Caenorhabditis elegans: one gene and its partner. The protein of the gene in region 1 interacts with the protein of each later gene in a pairwise test. Each region holds a gene or a part of one and is shown on either strand. Other genes may lie near its edges.

The links.
Region 2: the proteins of mek-1 (region 1) and C33G3.6 interact in a two-hybrid assay, tested with the Caenorhabditis elegans proteins (one large-scale study listed by BioGRID).

The regions. Positions count from the first base shown.
Region 1 is NC_003284.9:7,477,375-7,481,305, forward strand, and holds mek-1 (Dual specificity mitogen-activated protein kinase kinase mek-1), read left to right. Parts: upstream 1-1,873; 5' UTR 1,874-1,881; coding exon 1,882-2,065; intron 2,066-2,114; coding exon 2,115-2,347; intron 2,348-2,397; coding exon 2,398-2,541; intron 2,542-2,596; coding exon 2,597-2,908; exon of another isoform or gene 2,909-3,034; coding exon 3,035-3,205; 3' UTR 3,206-3,631; downstream 3,632-3,931. UniProt on the Caenorhabditis elegans protein: Dual specificity protein kinase which may phosphorylate kgb-1 and thereby is an essential component of the JNK pathway composed of mlk-1, mek-1 and kgb-1. May also have a synergistic role with sek-1 in phosphorylating pmk-1.
Region 2 is NC_003284.9:14,082,368-14,086,298, forward strand, and holds the start of C33G3.6 (Non-specific serine/threonine protein kinase), read right to left. Parts: upstream 1,952-3,931; 5' UTR 1,949-1,951; coding exon 1,853-1,948; intron 1,539-1,852; coding exon 1,293-1,538; exon of another isoform or gene 1,227-1,292; intron 1,155-1,226; coding exon 669-1,154; intron 485-668; coding exon 404-484; intron 357-403; coding exon 229-356; intron 179-228; coding exon 137-178; intron 92-136; coding exon 26-91; intron 1-25. Other genes in the region: F16B12.1 (CUB domain-containing protein), read left to right, coding at 3,203-3,334, 3,387-3,514.

The DNA of each region.
Region 1 (3,931 bases):
TTTGTTATGCCTTCATGTTTGGACCATTAATAGAAAATTGTTTGAAACTGACCTTTTGTGTGGCGAACAATCACATTTAATCGTATATCTCGTAAATCTCTACGCAAACGTGTTTGTTCTCCAATACCACTTGCCAAGAGGCAGTCTTACTTTGCGAAATATGGATGATAAAAGACATCATGATTTTTTCTGATAAGGATGAAAGCGCAATTATCGATTCCTCTCCGCTCCTACGCTCTCTGTGTTCAGCGCAATTGCTCTGACCAGTTTTTTTTTGTTCTATTCTCTATATCTAGAAACATTAAGCATTAATTCAACATATCATGAACCATCAAGATTTGACATAATTTTGATAATTTTCCATCAACTCAGTCGCCGACAAACAAGTTAGAGGCTCCCAACTCTGCACCTTGTGAGATGAGTCATGCAACAACTGGTCCATATCTGATTTAGTGTAACGACCACAATGCCACGATGACTAGGCTTGATTCTGCATTTGTTATTTATGGAATTCAAGACATTTTGAGATTTTTGCATTTGGTGTTCTAGCATTTATCTGACTAATTAAAATCAGAAAATGTTTTCACCTCGTTGTTTTTCAGAATTTGACTTTCCACATTTTCCAGCACCGCTTTTAAATATAAAAAAAAATAGTTTTTATTTATTTGATTGGGTCTCCTCATTTATTAGAAAAAATGTCGAAATTCTTGTTTGCGTCTTCTCAAATACATACAATAGTATTCTCAATGTTATCTCCTAATTTCGAAATCGATGGTTTCTCAATTACGAAATATTAGGAATTTTCCCACTTTCCGCGACACTATTATTTGCCTTTTTTAACCGCAATTCGATTACATTATTAGTGGTAAACAATCTTTTCTCTGAATTTCCAACGTTTTTTTTGTTTTACAAAAGAAACTATATAATAGTTGCTGTCCTCACATGATGATCAATGTTTTTTATCATTATCAATCAGAAAAGTCCCAGCTTTTCTTGACTTTTCCTTCAGAAATTATCATATCACAATTTGTTTGTTTTCTTTTTCTCTCTAACACTCTTACTCTATTCACTCAACAGTTCAATGCCGGAAATTCAAAATAACCAAATCGTTTTGACATAAACTTCAGTTCAAAGTTGACCTATCGCAAAAACAGGTCGAAAACAAAAAAAAATGGGGAACGGACCGCCAATGTTTTGAAACGGAAGGGGGGTGCGCACGCGGTCGCGTCGCGTGCCCGGTGTTTCAACGTAACTCTTGCACTTATTTACGCAGTGTGTCTCACTTGTGTGTGTGTGTGCCGTTCGTTTTTTCTCTCCCTTCCCTCCTCCCTCGCCGCATTGGAATTGCGACGGCGTCAATGCGGTCTTGCCGCTTTTCGAGACATTTTTGCTGCTGTGATGCCATGTTTTCACCATGATGTAATGCAATTTAATCCTCATGGCAAGAATGAAAAGTAGTTCAAAACGTTGCCTTTCTCGTTTTGGCAGCAGCTCTTTCTCATTTGATCCCCTCGTCGTATAAGCTAATACGCTTTTTGTTTTCAGCTGCTATATTCAGCCAACACAAAAGGCAAGAGCCTTTCCATTGACGTAAACGAGGCTTGTTTGCAACAACATCATGCATTCTAATTTCGTACATGAACTTTTCGAAAGTGCATTGAGATGAGAGTAATGATGAGAGCAAAGACATTTTCTTATAACTTCCCCTATTATTTATATGTATAGCCACTCTCATTCTTAGAAATGCTAGTGCACTTCTTTTCGTGCCCCAACAATTTATATTTTCATCCTAGAAATATAAATTCAAAATTTTGATTCTTCCTGATATTTCTTTATCTCTTTTTTTCTCTGTACTAAAAATAATAATTTTAAGGTGAAAAGATGGAGAGAGACTTCGACCTTGGCATGGGCAGACCTGGCGGGCTCGGAGGACTTGGTGGTGAACCGATCATGCAACAAATGCCACAGCCAGCGCCTCATCATCCATCCCGTAGTAGTAACGACCACAATGTGAAGAACCTCATGAAGCAGGCCGAGGAGAACTCCGGATATCTCACATTGCAAGGTAATTTGGCTAAATAAATAATCTTGAAACGGTAACAATTGATTTTTAGGTAACCGTCGTAAAGCTGACTTGAAGGAGCTTCAGTTCGTGGAAGATATTGGTCATGGAAGCTGCGGTACGGTCACAAAGTGCAGATACAAGAGTGTGATCATGGCTGTGAAGACGATGCCTCGGACGTCAAACAGTTATGAAATGTCCCGCATTTTGATGGATCTTGACGTCATCTGTCTCTCTTTCGACTGTCCGTACATTGTACGTTGCTTCGGATACTTCATCACCAACGTAAGAATTTTTATGAATTCTTTGACTTTTCCAATTATCATTTTTTTCAGTTCGACGTCCGTGTCTGCATGGAGTGCATGGCTACTTGCCTTGACCGTCTGCTTATCCGCATCAAGCAGCCAATTCCAGAGAGAATTATTGGAAAGTTGAGTGTGAGCATCATTAAAGCTCTGCACTACTTGAAAACCAAGCACGTAAGTTTATAAATCAGATGAACCATTTGGACAATATATAATCCGATTTTTTTAGCAAATCATGCACCGTGATGTGAAGCCATCAAACATTCTCCTCGACTGGAGTGGCGTCATCAAGCTTTGCGATTTCGGTATTGCTGGCAGACTGATCGAGTCTCGTGCTCATTCGAAGCAAGCCGGATGCCCTCTGTACATGGGTCCTGAGCGCCTCGACCCCAACAACTTTGACTCGTATGACATTCGCAGTGACGTGTGGTCTTTTGGTGTTACTTTGGTCGAGCTGGCAACCGGACAGTACCCATACGCCGGAACCGAATTCGACATGATGTCCAAGATTCTCAATGACGAGCCACCGCGCCTGGATCCGGTATGTGCTCTTCGTAAAAAATTCATCTAGAAAAAGCTTTTAAGAGCTACCAGTAGACATAATATATGCTTTATGGCGGCTAGAAACAGTACACAACTAGTATTTATGTATTTTACAATTTTACAGGCCAAATTCTCTCCGGACTTCTGTCAACTCGTCGAGAGCTGCCTGCAGCGTGATCCAACGATGCGTCCCAATTACGATATGCTCCTCCAGCATCCGTTTGTCGTGCATCACGAGAAAATTGAAACCGACGTCGAGGAGTGGTTTGCCGATGTGATGGGCGAGTGCGGATAATTGTCGAATTACAAACGTATTGTTATTTCCCAAATCATTTGTAAAAACTATCAATCCCATTCACTATCTCTTTCATAACATTTCCTGGTCTAGCATTCATGGTGCAAAGTTTTTCAATTTTGCTTTTTTACCTTATTTACCCTATTTACCACTTTTACCCTATTTTCACTTGTTCTCGTTCCCGTTGTCTCTATCAAAAATTCCCAACCTCTCTCACCGAATCCCTGTCTACCAAACTTGAATGTTCCGGATGTATAGTATCATTGTAGGCCTAATTGATTGTATATTTTGATTATGATATGTCTCAAAGTTAAGCCATCCACAGCTAGTCTTCTCGTCAGAGATTACTGTGGACATTAAAATTGTGATTCAAATTGTTCAACGGATATTGTTGTAATCTTATATATTTAAATACAGTCTATGGACCGTTCGTTTTTTTACAAGTTTTGAACGAAGCGTTACAGAAAGAAGTAATCAAATTCCAGATCTGTAGAAACTAGCGAGTTAACAGGTAATCGGAACTATGGTGTCTTGAACAATATTTGAAAGTATTCGAAATAGTGTACATATTTTGTGAAACTAAATACTATCAAACGATATCCTACTCAACTCTGAAATGTTCATACAGTGTATTAACACCTGCGCGACAACGCTTCACCTCTCTCATTTAAATGAATCCAAATGATTAGTCGCTGGAGATTATTAGGATATGCTACTAACGGAGCT
Region 2 (3,931 bases), 6.6 Mb from region 1:
TTCGTATAACAGTTTAAACACTCACCTGCTTACATGCGAATTAATCCCTTCATGATAGACATTTTGACTTGATGCTCTTTGAATGTCTCGTCTGCAAAAAAATGTTAAATTATTGTAAAAACTGATTTTAACTTACGGATCACAATAGGGTAAATGATCGGAGGACGTATTTTTCAACCTAAAAAATATATTTTTAACAATTTAACAACTAAAAAAGATGTTTTATACCATTCCTGCTGTCCATATGATTTGTTATTGTAAACGTCTTGATTTCTATCAGTGTAGTTGATGCCATTCGATGAGTTTTCATATTTATCTTGATGTGAATTGATTGAGCTTTGCCGATAGTCATTGTTCTAAAGTAAAGTCCAAATTTTAAAAAAAATTGTGCATAAATACTCACATAAGACTTCTGCATTTCAGGTTCCAATTGTTGACGCTCAGCTTCTTCCTTTATTTTTTCTCGATGGTTTAGATTATGTCTCTGAAATTATGAAATTAGAAAAAAAGACTTTATCTTCTCTTTTTTCTTTTTTTCTTTTTTTTCAAGAGTCAATTTATACAGTTTTCATCACATTAATTCGTAAATTTTTGCTAAGTGAGAAGATTATTTTATAAGCTCATTTCTGGGCTAGAAAATATAATTTGTCATATACATATATACTCACCAGCCTATCTGCATCAATAGTTTTTTGATCAAGAGATGCCAAAAATTCAGCAGACAAACGCTCTTCTTCAGACAATCGCTTTCGTTTTTCCTCTTCGGTTTCTCCTTTTTGAACATTTTCAACTGAATCAGTTTCATAATTATTCTTCATTTCATCTGGCTTTTCATCTATGTTAAATCCTTCATTGGTTTCTGCGCTTGTTGGCTTTTCTTGTCCTTGTTCTAACGGTTTACCACTTCCACCAAAGTATTTCAATTGAATCAAATAAGATTCATCTTCATCCTCTTCTTCGCTACATTTTCCGTTGCTTTCTGAATCGTGAAATTCATCAATTGATATTTCATCTTCACAATTGCTGGATGGCAGTTTTCCCGATGCATTTTTAAGATCATGCATTGACTCTTCCTTTTTGAAGCTTCTTATTAGATTCAAGTATGCGGTTTCTTCGTCGTCACTTTCAGGATCTTCTTCATGGTTTTTGGCGTTCTGAAAATAAAAAAGTTAAGCAAGTTGCGCATATTGCTGAAATATTAAGGAAAAAGGCGTTCTGGCTAGAATTATGTTATATATATATATATATATATATATATATATATATATATATATATATATATATATATATACCTGATCACTGTTCCGAGTTGATTTTTGATTCTCTCCAAAAAATTGTTCGATGGAAATGTTCTTCTCTACCGACATTTGCTTTTCTATTTTTTCCTCAATTTCACTATTTCCAATGCGGTTTCTTTCGATATAGTTTTTTCGATTTATTCCATTACATGCTGTTGCATTTTCGCCAGTGTTTTTGAGGTTTTCCGTGTTAGATTCATCCTTATCCTCTTCGTGCCGGCATTCTTCGTCGACTCCTGCCTGCAAAACCATGGTGGTATTTTTCTGAATTTTGATGCTCCGCATTAAATTTTGCATTTTCATAAACCCTATATTTTATATTGAAGCGGTGTACCGCACTAATTTTCAAAAAAACAGCGGTGGATCTCTTTTTTTCGAAAGGTTTCATTAGTCTTAAACTATAATAATTTACAAGTTCTGAACAACTTTCAACGAAAAATTATTTGAAGTTGTGAAAATTTATATCATCCAAAAAATTGTAGAAGTTAAATTAGGAAGCATTAACCAACACTTTTTCGTAATGTTTGTTCTTGAAGAATTTGTAACCAACTCACTTTATCCCTGCCCATTTCCCCGTGTCCGTGTTCTTCAGTTAATCGATTAGTGTCGTCAGCTGCGAACACAAGAAATTGGTCTTCGTGGTCGGACATACCCTGCAAAAAAATGCGTATAATTTTTTGTGAAAAATTTAAAATTAAAAAAATTGTAAAGTTGCGTTCACTTATTGAATTTTTAACTGGAAGCTATGGAGGAACAAGGGAGGTAGAAAAACGAACAGATACAAAATGGCATGATGGGTGGTAAAGTGAGACTGGACGTAATAGACGGAGAGAAAGAGCGCGTTATGTGCGATTTTATGGCAAAGGAAAGAGAGGAAAGATGACTCGTTCAAAAGCAGAAACTCGTAAGACCCTCCCGTCGTGAGAGCAGTAACCCAATCCAAGCATTTTTTGGGACCTGATTAGCCGCGGCCTTTTTTCGCTCTAAGCCCATAATGAGAAATTCCGTTTTCCTGAAAACATTTTTAGCGGGAAACTCTGAATATGTAAAAGCTTATGGAAAATTGGGAACTGTTTAAAAATATTCAAGAAACTTCGAGGCAATTTGATTAGTTACAGAAAAACAAAAAAATCTACATAATACATAAAAGTTTGCATAAATTTGGTTGAATAAAATTTTTTACGTTTGTCGAAAAATCTGCAAAAATTGTTTGTCAACATTTTTTTAGAAGACAAAAATAGTGCAAACAAGACTAACTATTTTTAAAGATTTGAGTTATGCGATCCAGAAATCTCGATAAACTCAATAAATGACTGACAAACTGTGAAGAAAATATTGATTCTAGCACCATTTGAGGGTAACATATTAATTTGAAATTTTTTGTATGTTTTGAAAATTCATAGACATAAATAGGTGGCCTTTTTGGTAGCCCCGCTCTACATGCACATTTATTTTGTCACAACTTAAACGTAATCAGTGGTTCATAAATCTTGTCAACTTTGTTCCAGACGAACTGCATAAACAAAATTGTTCTGATTGTTTTTTTTTAAATAACTTTATTCAAACTCTTTCATTTCCTCACCCATCAATATTGGATGGCATTTCGTTTATTTGATTCACTGCGAGAAGTAATTGAATATGAGTCTTCTGATAAACAATATCAGCTTCTGTTTATTTTGCATTGCGTTAATTTCGAGTCCTCACCGTTTCTCACTGATCATCAAAATTATTAGCTGAATAAGAATGTGTGAGTTCGAAATTATTGTAACCAGTAACAATCTGAATGCCTCTTTTGATAACATTTAGCTGATTACAGTTTATAGCCAACATAATTGTATTCAGGGATTTTTTGTGTCTTTCTAATTCCAATCATCACACATGCAATTGATAGTTCAAATGATGACATGGACTATGAAATCAAGAAAGGCAATTGTACCTGTGAAGAAGAAGTTTATGAGGCAACTATCGAACATGGAATCATCAAATCACCTCACTACCCGAATTCACAAAGTTGCGATGGAAGATGTGTCTACATTGTTAGTAAATTAGAGAATGTGATTGGAGTTAATAAATGTTAACTAGCTATAGATACTTCCACATCCCAACAAAACCGTTTCTCTTTACACATCGTCGTTTGAAATCTCCAGTCGGGCAAGTCTCATCGTTTACAGTCTGCTCGAGGAAAATGGTGAAAGAATTCGTATTCCGCATGCAAAGTAAGTTGTATCTTGTTTTAAATTAGAATAATAATTCAATAAAAATTAATTAAGCTCATTATTTTTTAAACTGCCTGTGAAAGGAGACCTATGTTCAGTTTCCTGCAATATATAATTGAAAAATACATGCTTGTGGGATCATCGTGAGATCAATTAGTCATATTGAGAATGCAAAAAAAAGAAACAATGAAAAAATTATGTTCCGTACAACAAAATTCTGTGCAAAACAGAACACGGCCAAGATATGAGAGTAGAGTTTTAAAGGAATTCGGTCTGCGTATAAGGGAATATCTTTTATACATTCGTTATAGATTTTAATGTAGAAAGTTAAACCGAAAAAAGCGAAGATCCCATGTCAAACTGTCCCATTTTTATGTAATCTACAAAAAATGCGGTAATTTTTTGCATAGAAAAATG